Coturnix japonica: one gene and its partners. The protein of the gene in region 2 interacts with the protein of the main gene of each other region in a biochemical or structural test. Links are inferred from orthologs where the notes say so. Each region holds a gene or a part of one and is shown on either strand. Other genes may lie near its edges.

Evidence for each region. The genes of interacting proteins can lie anywhere in the genome.
Region 1: the proteins of NTRK2 (region 2) and BDNF form a complex in vitro, tested with the Homo sapiens proteins (3 studies listed by BioGRID). The link is inferred for Coturnix japonica from reciprocal best matches to the Homo sapiens genes NTRK2 and BDNF.
Region 3: the proteins of NTRK2 (region 2) and PTPN1 form a complex in vitro, tested with the Homo sapiens proteins (2 studies listed by BioGRID, with this or other methods). The link is inferred for Coturnix japonica from reciprocal best matches to the Homo sapiens genes NTRK2 and PTPN1.

Annotation. Positions count from the first base shown.
Region 1 is NC_029520.1:3,109,652-3,113,839, forward strand, and holds the start of BDNF (brain-derived neurotrophic factor), read right to left. Parts: upstream 2,801-4,188; 5' UTR 2,746-2,800; exon of another isoform or gene 2,622-2,745; intron 1-2,621. UniProt on the Homo sapiens protein: Important signaling molecule that activates signaling cascades downstream of NTRK2. During development, promotes the survival and differentiation of selected neuronal populations of the peripheral and central nervous systems.
Region 2 is NC_029547.1:36,617,479-36,620,990, reverse strand, and holds part of NTRK2 (BDNF/NT-3 growth factors receptor), read right to left. Parts: intron 2,734-3,512; coding exon 2,499-2,733; intron 1-2,498. UniProt on the Homo sapiens protein: Receptor tyrosine kinase involved in the development and the maturation of the central and the peripheral nervous systems through regulation of neuron survival, proliferation, migration, differentiation, and synapse formation and plasticity.
Region 3 is NC_029535.1:12,162,838-12,167,149, forward strand, and holds the start of PTPN1 (tyrosine-protein phosphatase non-receptor type 1), read right to left. Parts: upstream 2,801-4,312; 5' UTR 2,781-2,800; coding exon 2,637-2,780; exon of another isoform or gene 1-2,636. UniProt on the Homo sapiens protein: Tyrosine-protein phosphatase which acts as a regulator of endoplasmic reticulum unfolded protein response. Mediates dephosphorylation of EIF2AK3/PERK; inactivating the protein kinase activity of EIF2AK3/PERK.

The DNA.
Region 1 (4,188 bases), on a different chromosome or scaffold from region 2:
ACTGTGCGATGTACAAACACCGGGGATCTATTATTGGCACCTTTCCTTTGCTTGCCATAGTGACGTCCAACCCAAACGCAAGTGTTAATGCCCTTATAAGGCTCCTAGCACAAATTTAAATTCTTTATCCTTTGGCCGATGATACAAACTGCAATCTCAGTAGCATACGGCATGGGGAGGTGGGAGATTTTCTTGGCTCTGTGGTGAGGGAGAGAAATTAAAAAGGAGCCTACAATGCTGAGTCACTGTGACAAATAACTTACTATGGCATACATTCAGGGTTTAGCAAAGAGGCAGCTGAGAGTGAGTCAGTGACTGACTAGTGCCTCCTAGATTTTCCTCCTTGGGAAAGATTCAATCTAATGTAAAGAAGAGACGGCAAAAGTATTTCTCAGTGTTACCATTACCAAGCTGCTATCACTAATTATACACGTGGCTAAAACCATCAAATTCCATTGTGTAATACATGCCTTCTGTCTGGTATATAACATCGCCCATTATGGAGCATTACAAGTACTGGTTTTGAGAGACGGAAAACTTGGCCAAACTTCAAGTGTTTGGCAGTGTCAATTCAAGCACCTCCCGTCTTTTGGTTGCTCAGCTTCACAGTCTTCTCCGCATCCTATTTAGCACTTCGGTTGAGCAGTCTGTAGCACCATTTACACCAAAATAGATAGTTCTGTGATCAAAAAAGACTTTCCAAGTGCAAAATGGATGCAGTTTTGTGGAAAAACGTGTAAGAAGGTCACAGTCCATCAAAACACCTAGTCCCAGTAAAGTCAAATTTGCATGTGCTGAATCACAGCCAAAGCTATTCTTGTGTCGTCCTGGTTGTGATGTTTCTTTCCCCTTCTCCTTCTGCTCAGGCAGACAAGTTCTTGCCCAGCACCCCAAATCTGGGAAGAGAGCAAGAAAGCAGGTCTGCATAATATCCCCTCCCCTGACCCCAGGTCCCATACCTGCCCATTAGAGAGCAGAAACAATAGAAACAGTTTCCCTGCCAGGATGGGGCTGTTAGCAGCTTTTCAGCTATCTGTACACCCCCCACCTTTCCCTTCCCTTCCCTCTTAAAAAGCAGTTCTGTCACCAAAGAGCCAGGGGCTGCAGAGAGAGCTGCTTTAGCCAGTATCTCCATTTGTGCCTTGTTTCTCCTGTACAGAAAGGTATCGCTGAGTAAGCCCTGAAATTCCTCAGATACTATGCTAATTCATACATGATGGGGAAAGAATATAACTGCTCCTAAGCAGACCACAACCAGGTGGAAGGAATTTCCTATCATCCTCTTCCACCTGAGCCACAGGGTTCAGCCTGGCAATGGGAACATCTTGCCTAAAGTAATTCTGTTTGGGATGCTGCAGTCAGGCCATCCCTTCTGAGCACAAATAAAGGCAGAGAATAATCCATCGTTTACTCAAAATGTTAATTAGTGAGTGAATTATACTCATACTGTTCCCATCTGAGGACTGGCTGCTGAAGAAGTGTAATTAGATATTTATATCTGTTGTCTAACTTGTACGAACTCCAGCGGTCCAGTTGCTCACGAATGAGTTCATAAGGCCAGTCAATTATTTTTACATGATGCTTTTGTTTGTTTCTTAAACAAAAATGTCTTTCCCATCTCCCAAAACAAAGCTTTTCTTGAAAAATAGTGATATCATCAACAATTTCACTGTCTTTTTTTAGCTGAGTTCATCTCTTTCCAACACTGTGAGACAAAGGGCTCCCTTATTTCCACCATAGCCCTACTAAATGCATTACAAACCCCACAAGGAGAGCCCCCAGCATGCCCCAGAACTGCCACGTGATCCTAGGCAAGAGGGTACGGCTGAGATCCCCAAAGTCTTAAGGAAGATTTAGCTTTAAAGATCACACACTGACCCTGCTTTTAAGAGAAGCAAATCCCTATAATTTCGAGGGAAAAAACCACTCATGTTTTCCTTCGTGTATCTCTGAAAAGCAGCTCTCAGATCTGACCTTTCCAAAATGCCTATCAGTGATCAGCTGTAAAACAAGAGATCTCTGTAATATTTTTCTAATGCAGAGTGAACAGCAGCCAACTTCCCATAGAGAAGGAGGAGGATTTTCTCAAGCTAATTTTATTTCCTTATCTTTAGTCATCTGCTGAAAAGAAAACACTAAATATATTCCTCAGTCTACTCCTTCCAGTGATAGCTCGAAGGAGTAAAGAACCATATGCTCCTTCAGCTGATCCATACTGTCTCCATGACAATGCAGTTTACAAAGTTTGCTCCTAACAGCTCTGTAGTACGTGTTTCAGCTGCTCACATTTTTGGGCATGAGGATGGCTGGCAGTGGGGGCAATGGTGGCTGCCACTGCAGTGGTTGGGCATGTTCACCAGTAGCTTTGGTTGAGCAGCACTTCCACCCAAACACCCCAACCCCAAGACCAGTGCCCACCAGTGAGCTCCAGTTCCAGTGGTGCAGCTCAGCCTGTGGTACCATCTGGAAGCTGATGCAGCCAGTCCCTCCAAATTCCTTACGAGCTTTTATATGTGCAATGCCTTAAAAGGAGAAAGGATTTTACCTCATTTTAGCCAATCAGAAAATCCTGGTAAATTTACACAGAAAAAATGTGTTCTCCTCATTAAAGCGTGCTTTACCTTTGGGTAAGGTGGATCTCCTGGATCCTCCCAGGAGCACAGCACGCCCAGAGCTGGAGCTGTGCCAGATCTCTCCTCTATACTCCTCCAATCCCTTTGCATCCCTGTTTCACTTACAATGTACCGCACTGCATGTAGAAAATGGACTTCACCTTCAGCCAGCTCAAGCAGGACACCCAACTTACTGTGGCACTGCTGTGGTGGGCAAGAAACCTTATCCTATGACGTAACAGAACAGAAGCATTCACGAACAGGCGGCTTCTGAGCTACAGGCCATCAGTTGGCAGCCTCCACCTCAACAAGTGCAGAAAGACACGATGTTGTTATTTTCGGAGCCTGTGTGTTTCACTATTCCCCAATCGGCACAATAGCTGTCAGCATTCCTGTTTTGAATTTCACACATTTGCTTAATCAGAAATCAACAGAAATACATAACCAGTTACAGTGGTGTATGAGATTCAGTCCTTTTTTATCAAGGAGTTACCCAAGATATGGGTTGCAGATCAGGTTGTCTCCACACAATCATTTCTAAAAGTAACCCCAGTACACATTTAAGAGTAGAAATAAAAACTTCAGCTGGCTAAGATTAAAAAAGGAAAAAAATGTGTGTATACATATACACGCACACATATACGTCTGACACTCACTTTGAATTGTCAGGGTGAAACATTTAGAGATTTTTAAATTTATTTATTTTTTAAAAACACCCCCATCCCTGTAGAATGGCCTACACAGCTTGATCCCCATAGATTTACCAGCTGTTTTGAATTCCTCCCCCCGGCACTCATCAGCCAGAAGCTTAATCATGCTGAAAGGTTCCCACCTGCACCCCCTGCTACCTTTTGGAGCACAGAACCCAGAAAGGACCCCAGGGCTGGGGAGAACATCTTCCCACTGTTTGCTCCTTCACAGTGGCCAGACCTGGGACACAGCTCACGAGATGTCTCAGCATTCCTTTGACAACTACAGGTATACGCCAAGTTCAAATTATGCTCAACTGTCTTCTAGAAATTCAGGCCTCTATTCCCCCCCTCCTTGAATATACCAGATCTCTCCTGAATTCTATTTATGGGCAGAAAAGTGAAGGCTTGTCTAATTAGAGATGATTCTTCTCTTATTCCTTCACCCCCTATACCAAGAGCTAAGACAACTTCTGACAAAGACTCACATCTAGACTAGTTCCTAGCATTATGCAGTGGAGGGAGGTGAGCTGCACAGGAACAAGTTTCTGCAGAGAATGAAGACAGCTTGGAGTCACAGCTTCCTTTCAAGCCTCTGAAACCTATGGATTTATAGAGACTTGGCTCCCCTGCACATAATACCCCTCTTTCAGGGGGATAAAGGAGTAGGGCTCTGCTAATCTCTCCAGTTAGCAGGAAGGAACACAGGATCCAGCACACCACAAGGTTTGGAGGCACTACTCAAAGTTATTTGGTGCCTCTGGAGGATCCACAGGGACCAGCAACATAAAGGATTTAATGTGCACGCCCAAGCATCAAGCAAATGCTGTCTATTAAGAAGTTTAAGGGGAGGAAATACTTTCCAGACACACAAGCCTTCTTTAAGG
Region 2 (3,512 bases):
GAATGTTAGCACATACATCTGGTGGCACAGTGGTAGGAATGCCGTTTTGCAACACCGGAGGCCTGGGTTCGAATCCCGCCCTGTGGCGCAAGTGGTAGAAGTGCCACTCTGCTACACAGGAGGCTCAAATCTCGGGGGTTGGACTCAATGATCTCTAAGGTTCCTTCCAATCCGCACGAGACTGTGATGCTGTGATCAGGGCTCCCTTTGCCGTCAAGATTCCTATCTGATGAAAAATAAAAGGAAAATGTAGGAAGAGAGGAGGTAAATGAAAGCTTGTGCAACTAGCACCGAATATTACACACATTTCTAGCTCAAGGGTTACTACTCTCACTCCTGTCCATGAAGTGTCCCTTAACAACTGCATTGATTCATTGCAGAGTGTCATTAACAATCCAGTGGTGAACAAGTACTGGTGACCATCCTTATCTTACAAAGCATCTTGAGAAAATCCAGCATTCTGACAAGGCTGGTAGGCTCCCAGTAAAATGATTCCAGTGCATTAATACACACAAACACCAAAACGTTTCCTATGGAGCTTTTGGAGCTGTATTAAACCTTCCAGTAAGCATTAGATGGAGCACTCAAGGTTGGGGAAGAATTACTCCCCTGCATATGATTAAGTGTGAACAGTTAGACATGGTATAAACAATTAAGTACACTCGGTCAGTGCAAACCCAGTGTAATCACTGGTGGTTTCATTTTGTAGGTCTGTCACAGATTAATTCTCCAGACAACAATCTGGAAAGTCATCATTCAGCTTCTGACTAGACCATACACGGCAGACCCAAGGAGGGCTGTTCAGAACCTCAAAGGCTCAGCTGTGTCTTCCAGCTTTTATCAGTGTAAAATAAAATTGCAATGTAGGATGTGGGTCTGCCTCTCCTCCACACTAACTAAAAGGGAGGTGGTAGGGAAACAGTCCTTCTTGGTTTTCTTGCTGTTCCAAACAAATTACTACAAAAATCTATATTTTCATTCACCCCCTCTGACATTTGCCTACCTCATCCTCCCTTCAGCCAAATTTGTGTATTTTTACTAACAGCTCTTTCCAATTTTGTTTCCTTTCCTTAATGAACTTTTAATTACTTAAAACACCTCACATCCATTATATCACCCTCATCACACACCCTCCTGTTTCTTCTTTCTTTCTTCCTGGACAACAAAATTCCTCCCTTGGTCTCAGAAGATGGACAAAATAACAAGGGACAGAGAATAGAGAGTGTGACTGACAATGAAGCAATGGAAAAATACAGTGTACTTGAATGAAGTGCTTTGAAAGACAATGACCATCCAGGTTACCTAGAACTTCTCTAGGTTCCGCCTTGCCCTTGTCATAAACCTCCACTCCATTGGGTAGAAGCTTTGTTTGAGTGCTCATGTGTAGGACTCAAGGACTAACAGAGGTATGAGCTGGTAAGAAGACACCACTCAGTACACTGTCACATGCTTGTGCCAAACCTCAGCTGCCTCTAGGAAGCACAAATGATTACCTATCTTCCATCCTTTTCTGCATGCAGTTTTTCTGTGGCAAGAGCTACTTTCTCTCTTTTCTTCTTCTTCTTCTTTTTACTTTTTTTCTTTCCAAAATTCAAAACAAAGCAAAACACTTATCACTCAAAAAATTCTGCCTTTATCTGTCAAGGCTTCTGCAAACTGTTACTGTTAAGCTTGAGCGTTCATTCCTAAGTGTAATGATGAAGATGCTAAGTGAACGCAGTCTTGATCAAATACAGAACAGAGAAACGCCCTCAGTCACAGCACAGTTCACTCTTCAAATGCAAATTAAGAAAGCCTAGCCTTTGGTGTTCACTGTTGTCCTTGAAAAAATAGAGCCAGTGATTACGATTCTGTGTATTTTTCCAAGTCCTGAAATGAAATCATACTTGTTTTACATGCACCAAGTAGCTTGAGGTGCCAAGTTTCCAAAATAACAAAATATAAGAGAAATATGGTTTGTATGTTTACTAATTACTATGTTTGCATTTTGAAAGAAGAAACAAAGAACAGAGAAGACATTTTTCAGCTGTTAGGTAAAACAACACTCAACAAACAATTATTATATCTACCTTCCTCTGCCCTGTCAAGCATCATCTGGACATCAAGGCAATCTACTCTCAGGCATCCCACAAACAATGGCACAGAGGTGGCATTGTCCTTTTATGAGCACCAGCACAATTAGTGTGAATAAGGAAGAGATCTTCATTTTATCTAAGAACTCACTGAAAACAAGTGATGTGAGAAGCAGATACAGAGAATGTAAAAAGATGCATAGTAGCTTATCTTACAGGATACAAGTCCAGCATTCACAAACTAACAGCTTGGCCATAGATTGCCTTCTGTAAGCCATAAAAATCTGATCCATTCCTCTGTTCCATTCATGAAGTCACACATGTGGGAGCAAATGCTGCTGACTCCACAACTTGCCATAAGTACATCACTGCAGTAAGCTGACCAAACAGGACTTCAGTTGCTAGCTCTCACAGCAGTTCACTTACCCTGTAGTAGTCTGTGCTGTACACATCTCTAGACATTCCAAAATCTCCAATCTTCACTAGTAGGTTCTCACCAACCAGGCAATTCCGGGTAGCAAGGTCCCGATGCACAAAGTGCTGTGATGCCAGGTAAACCATACCAGCTGCAATCTGCTGGGCAATATGAAGCATCTGGGACTGTGTCAGCTCAGCTGGTCGGTTGCCTTCTGCCATCAGTACTGCATCTGGTCCATGTGCCCTGCACCAAAATACAGGCTGATTTAGTGACAGGGCATTTCTGAAACGTAGAGGTGAAAGTCACTAGTGATCCTAAAACCAGAGAAGTGACTTACTCAAACATAAGAATCAAAAGTGTTACAGATTCATTGGTAAAACCAAAAAATTTCTCTCCTGGCTTTCTTTATTTACTGTTTTCCTTCACTATGTGAAAGACAGGTGATCTGAAGAAAATTATACAACAGGAATATATATTGTTCATAAGGCAGACTGGTTCAGAGCAACAGATGCCTGTCTCAGACCAACATTTCTCTCATATTACATCCTCATAACTTTAAGAAATAGTTATCAGCATTCCTATATACACTGTTAGCATCACCCAATCTCTAGCCAGTTAATGAGGCAAACATTCCTCATTTAATGCAATATTCTGAATAACACCTTCTATCCATTCTTCCCTTCTGGGTTTTCAGAAGCCTTTTTAATTCTGTTCATGCAAATTACTCTTTCCAAGAGACCATCTCTGTCATTTTCTCCCCAGCTATTTTGGAAAAAAATATTCTACAACCAGTTTTCAACCTTCCCTCAGAAGTCCTTCCTTCCTCCAAAGATGAGTTTCAGAGAATCACCTTTCTGATCAATAAAGGTGAGGCCTTAATTCATCCCTAAGGGAAGGGCATGGGAGTTTGGAAAAGAGTTGCAAATTAATGAAAATCTATGAGATCAAATCTGAAATTACCTATTAGGAATATGTTATTAAAATTGCCCCAAGGGAAGAACTTTAAAAGCAGAGTGACAGAT
Region 3 (4,312 bases), on a different chromosome or scaffold from region 2:
AGAGCCAGTACAGCGCCCAATATTCCCCATTCTGAACAGACCTGGAAATCTAAATGACAATCAGTTCTTTCTTATTTTGCAATCTACAGCACAAATTCTGCACCCTTCACGTGGAAAACTAACGTCGAGAAAATGTCATAGATGCTTCAGTGAAAACCAACAGTATCAAGTTAGTGCAGGTTGCAGTGTCTGCTTTGCATGGGATTCCTAGCTGAACGCTGAATAATTCACAGATCTCTTTAATGTTATTAACACATCAGACTTAATATCATTAGCCAACATACTAACATCAACCTACCAGGTTTATGTAAACACAAGAAGCAATTTAACCTGTATTTGAGGTTTGTGTTTTTAAGATAGTATCTCATTCTACCAACGTGTGTAAGGAGTTAGAAATCAAAATTATTGAAGACTTCTACATATAGAATTACCATTAAAATTTGGTACTGAATTCACTACGTCAAGTGAAAACCTGTATCCCCCCTCTTTCAGTTTAAAACCATTCCCCCTTAGCCTATCACTATCCACCCCAGTAAAAAGTCGTCCTCCATCCTGTTTCTAAGCTCCCCTCAAGTGCTGGAAGGCTGCAATGAAATTTCTCCTGAACCTTCTTTTCGTAGCTTTCGGCTCCTGCTTTTTGTTGTGACATCTCCAGAGTGAATGCATTTCAATCCTCCTGGTACTCCCATTCTTTCAGAACCGGGTGATTATTGCAGCTGAACACAGCTTCCTCTTGGACAAAAAAAAAAGAAGCTTGGAAAATGTTATGCCTTCAAAGTCATGTGGCATCCACACAGACCTCCTTACAGCCACCCCTGCAGTCAGATTCACCTCCCTGTTGTGTTCCTAATGCCTCCTCTAAAAGTCAGCTGTATCTCTAGATCAATGATATAGCCCAGAAACAAGAGGAAGCGATTCTGATAGTAAACCGTGTGATGTTTCATTCAGAACATTGGTGAACACATCTGGATTTTAGCAATCATGATCCTACCACCTACACAGTAGAAGTACATGGTATAATTAACCCGGAGAAAGACTCTTTAGAAAGAAGAGACTGTGCCAGTAAGAAACATTATTCCACTTAACTCCATTCTTCAGGCAAAGATTGGTATTTGTTGGAAAACTGCATTGATCATGTCACTGCCAAGACATCACAAGCATGGATTACAGCGAGGTACGCTGTTCTAGATGTATATGATCTGCCACCATGTCACTTAAAACAGCTGATACTGAAAAGAAGGATGCAGTAGAAACTGAGTTATGTGATGCAGAAGCACATACTTACTAACCGTAAAATACAAGCAAGAAACCTTAAAATACAAGCTTCTCATGCCTGTCTACAACTGGAAGCAAATCACTTCATCTTGTTACTTTTAATTTGAATATCAGTCCTCAGTCAAACCTCACTCTGTGACAGTCTGAGCAGAGACTGCGTCACATCATTCAGAGAAAGCAGGAAAAAATATACCAAATGCTGCACTGGAAACATGCCACAGCCCTCGTTCCTTATTAACCTCACAGCTCCTTATGGATTCCACCTCAGTAATTAAACTGCACCCCTGGAAGTTGACCACCTCCATTACAGCGCTGCTACTCAACATCATTTCCTGAGCGCTCAGCCTGCAACAGACCAAAATACCAAGAGAAGTTTAACAAAAACACATCATCATACGAGCACATGACTTCCAACCAATACAGAGTTAGCGAGCACTGAGGCTCTGCAGGAAATGAAATCCTCTGCCAAAAAAAATGACTTCTCTGAAAAAGATAATCAAGATTTCATAAGAAAAATGTCTATTTTCCCACTGCCAACCAACAGGAGATGCCCATCCTGCAAGCTGGTGCTTTCACAGCTCACATGCTGCTGTTGTGAAGCTGGAGCTCGTTTATTTCACTTTCATAAAAACTCATTTTTTGCCCTTTTTCTAATGTCCGCTGTCTGATGTGACTGAGCACATCACAGTATCACACACAGCTGCAGCTCCCCTCACACCTCCGGGATAAACACACAGAGCTCTTTGGAGGCAGAAGACCTGCTCACAGCTGTGTGTGTTAACCTGGATCCACCTTGCCAGCATCCTCAGAATCATCCGTGTTTGCAATAACAACACCAGAACTTGGCTCGTTACAAAGTAATAACAAATGCCACAATATAACTGCACGAGCGTCACCAGCCAGCTGCTCCTCGGATCCGCTCTATCGCTACGGACCGAGCTCAATGACAGCCGGGACCCGCTGCTCACAATGGGACCGGCAGCTCCAAAGGCCGAGAGCGGCCGCGACGCGGAGGGACGATGCCGGCAGCCGGCGGGGAGAGCGGCGGGGCCTGGGCTGCACCGAGCCACCCTGAGCGCCGCGAGGAAAGGGAAGGAGGGAACGGCGAGTGATCCAGCACGGACAGGAGGAACGGAAAGTCGCGACATGGGCGATGGCAGCGGAACGAAACGGAACGAAACGGAACGAAACGGAACGAAGGCAGCGGAACACAACGGAACGCAGCGGAACGCAGCGCCGCCCGCCTGGAGCTCCGGCCGGGGCAGGCGCTGGGGGAGCGGAGCCGGCGGCAGCGGAGAACGGCCGCGAGCAGAGCGCTCCTCATCGCCGGGTCAGAGCGGGGCCGGGCGGCCGCCCCTCACCTGGTAGATGGCGGCCCAGCTGGCGGCCTGGTCGAGCCGGTGGAACTCCTTCTCCATCTCCATGGCCGGAACAACGCGCCCGGCCTGGCCCCGCTGCTCCGGCTCCAGCTGCTGCTGCCTCGGCCCGGGCTGCCCGCTCCGCATCTCACCCCGCCCTGCTGGGCCGGAACTACGCAGCCCGACACCAGACGCGACGTCCGGGGCGGCCGCAGCCGCGGGGTTGGAGGGGGAGCGAGATGTGTTGGTTTGGAGCCGGGAAATGAGTTACTGAGCTTAGGAACGTTAAAGCTTTAGTTTGCATTTCTGATAAAATTCAGCATTGTGAGATTACCTGCGTTAAATCAGCCAACATCATGAATAGCAATCCAGCTGCCTGCAAATACGATCCATGCTGCTGCTGTGCTGTCTGAGTGCAGCTCTGTAGTCACTAAGCCAGCTGTAGCAGGCGGCATCTCCAGCGTCCAACTGCTGTTAACTTGCTATTAACAGTCACCACACCTAATGCTACTGACTGTACGTATCTGTGCCATTAGTCTACGTTAACATCCCCTTTCTTGAGCAGAACTGTAACATTTTGTTATACAGAGCTGATCTTCCAGCGTGTCCTTTTGCTGTTACACCTCAGGCATTCCTAGTTCTGATTCTCTGTTTGGTTTTGGTTCAGCATTTGGGGTTGTTCATATGGAAGGTTCATTTGTCTTCATTTTGGTTTTTGCTAACAGTGCATCATGTAAGACTCAACAATTCAACTATTAGCCCTGGGTTACACTGAAGAATCTGTTGGGGAGCACTTCTGGCCTCTTTTTGGTGAGGATAGCTCTCCAAAACACGTTCGAGGTGATGGCATTGCTTCATTGCTGAGTAAGCCCTCCTGTGGTTTCTAATCCAGGTGAAGCAGGCGGTCCACTTGGCCTCACCTCCTCGTGAGAACAGACAATACCCTGCAGGCTGTGCTGAAGAGGAAACAAACAGAGGACCCTCAGAGTACAGGGGTGTAAGAAAGCAAGTGGCAGTTTGTCAGTGTACGGCAGCACATTTCATCCAACACACAAATACCAATCTCTGCTCCAGGGCACTTCAGGGCTATGACTGTGGGAAATGGCATCAATCCCTGGCTGCTGCAGGATCACAGCATTTTCACTGCAGTGATGCATCTCATGCAGGGCCATGCAAACCCAAGCCCTTGATGGAAGGAGTGCTGTGCAACAGCAAGACACGTGGGTTTAGTAGCCTATGGATATAACATGTGGCACAGGGAGAATCTATATCCTCAGAGAGACAGAGAAAGGGACTGGCATGGAAGTGGTGTGGATTGCCATGTGCTGGGTTGCCCAATCAGCTAGAGAACAGCTGCAGCCACAAGAGGCTGGTTTCACTGTGCAGCTGTGGCCCTGTAGAGATCAAGGCCACAACGTGAGTGGTTTCACATGGTGAAAAGGGATCAGGAGCAAAAGAAGCTGCAGACTGGAAACTGAACGTTGGTGGTAGTAGTGAAAAGGAGGTGCAAATGGAAAAATAGATATATGTTTCTGATGGTATAAAAAATCTAAACATTTTACTAAGAGCACAGATTTCCTGATGTGTGGTTATGTTCTCATACAGCTCATCAGGTGACATATTTTCCATGTTAATAGTTTGGATGTCACCATCTGCTTGCTATGACTTTGAGTGCCATC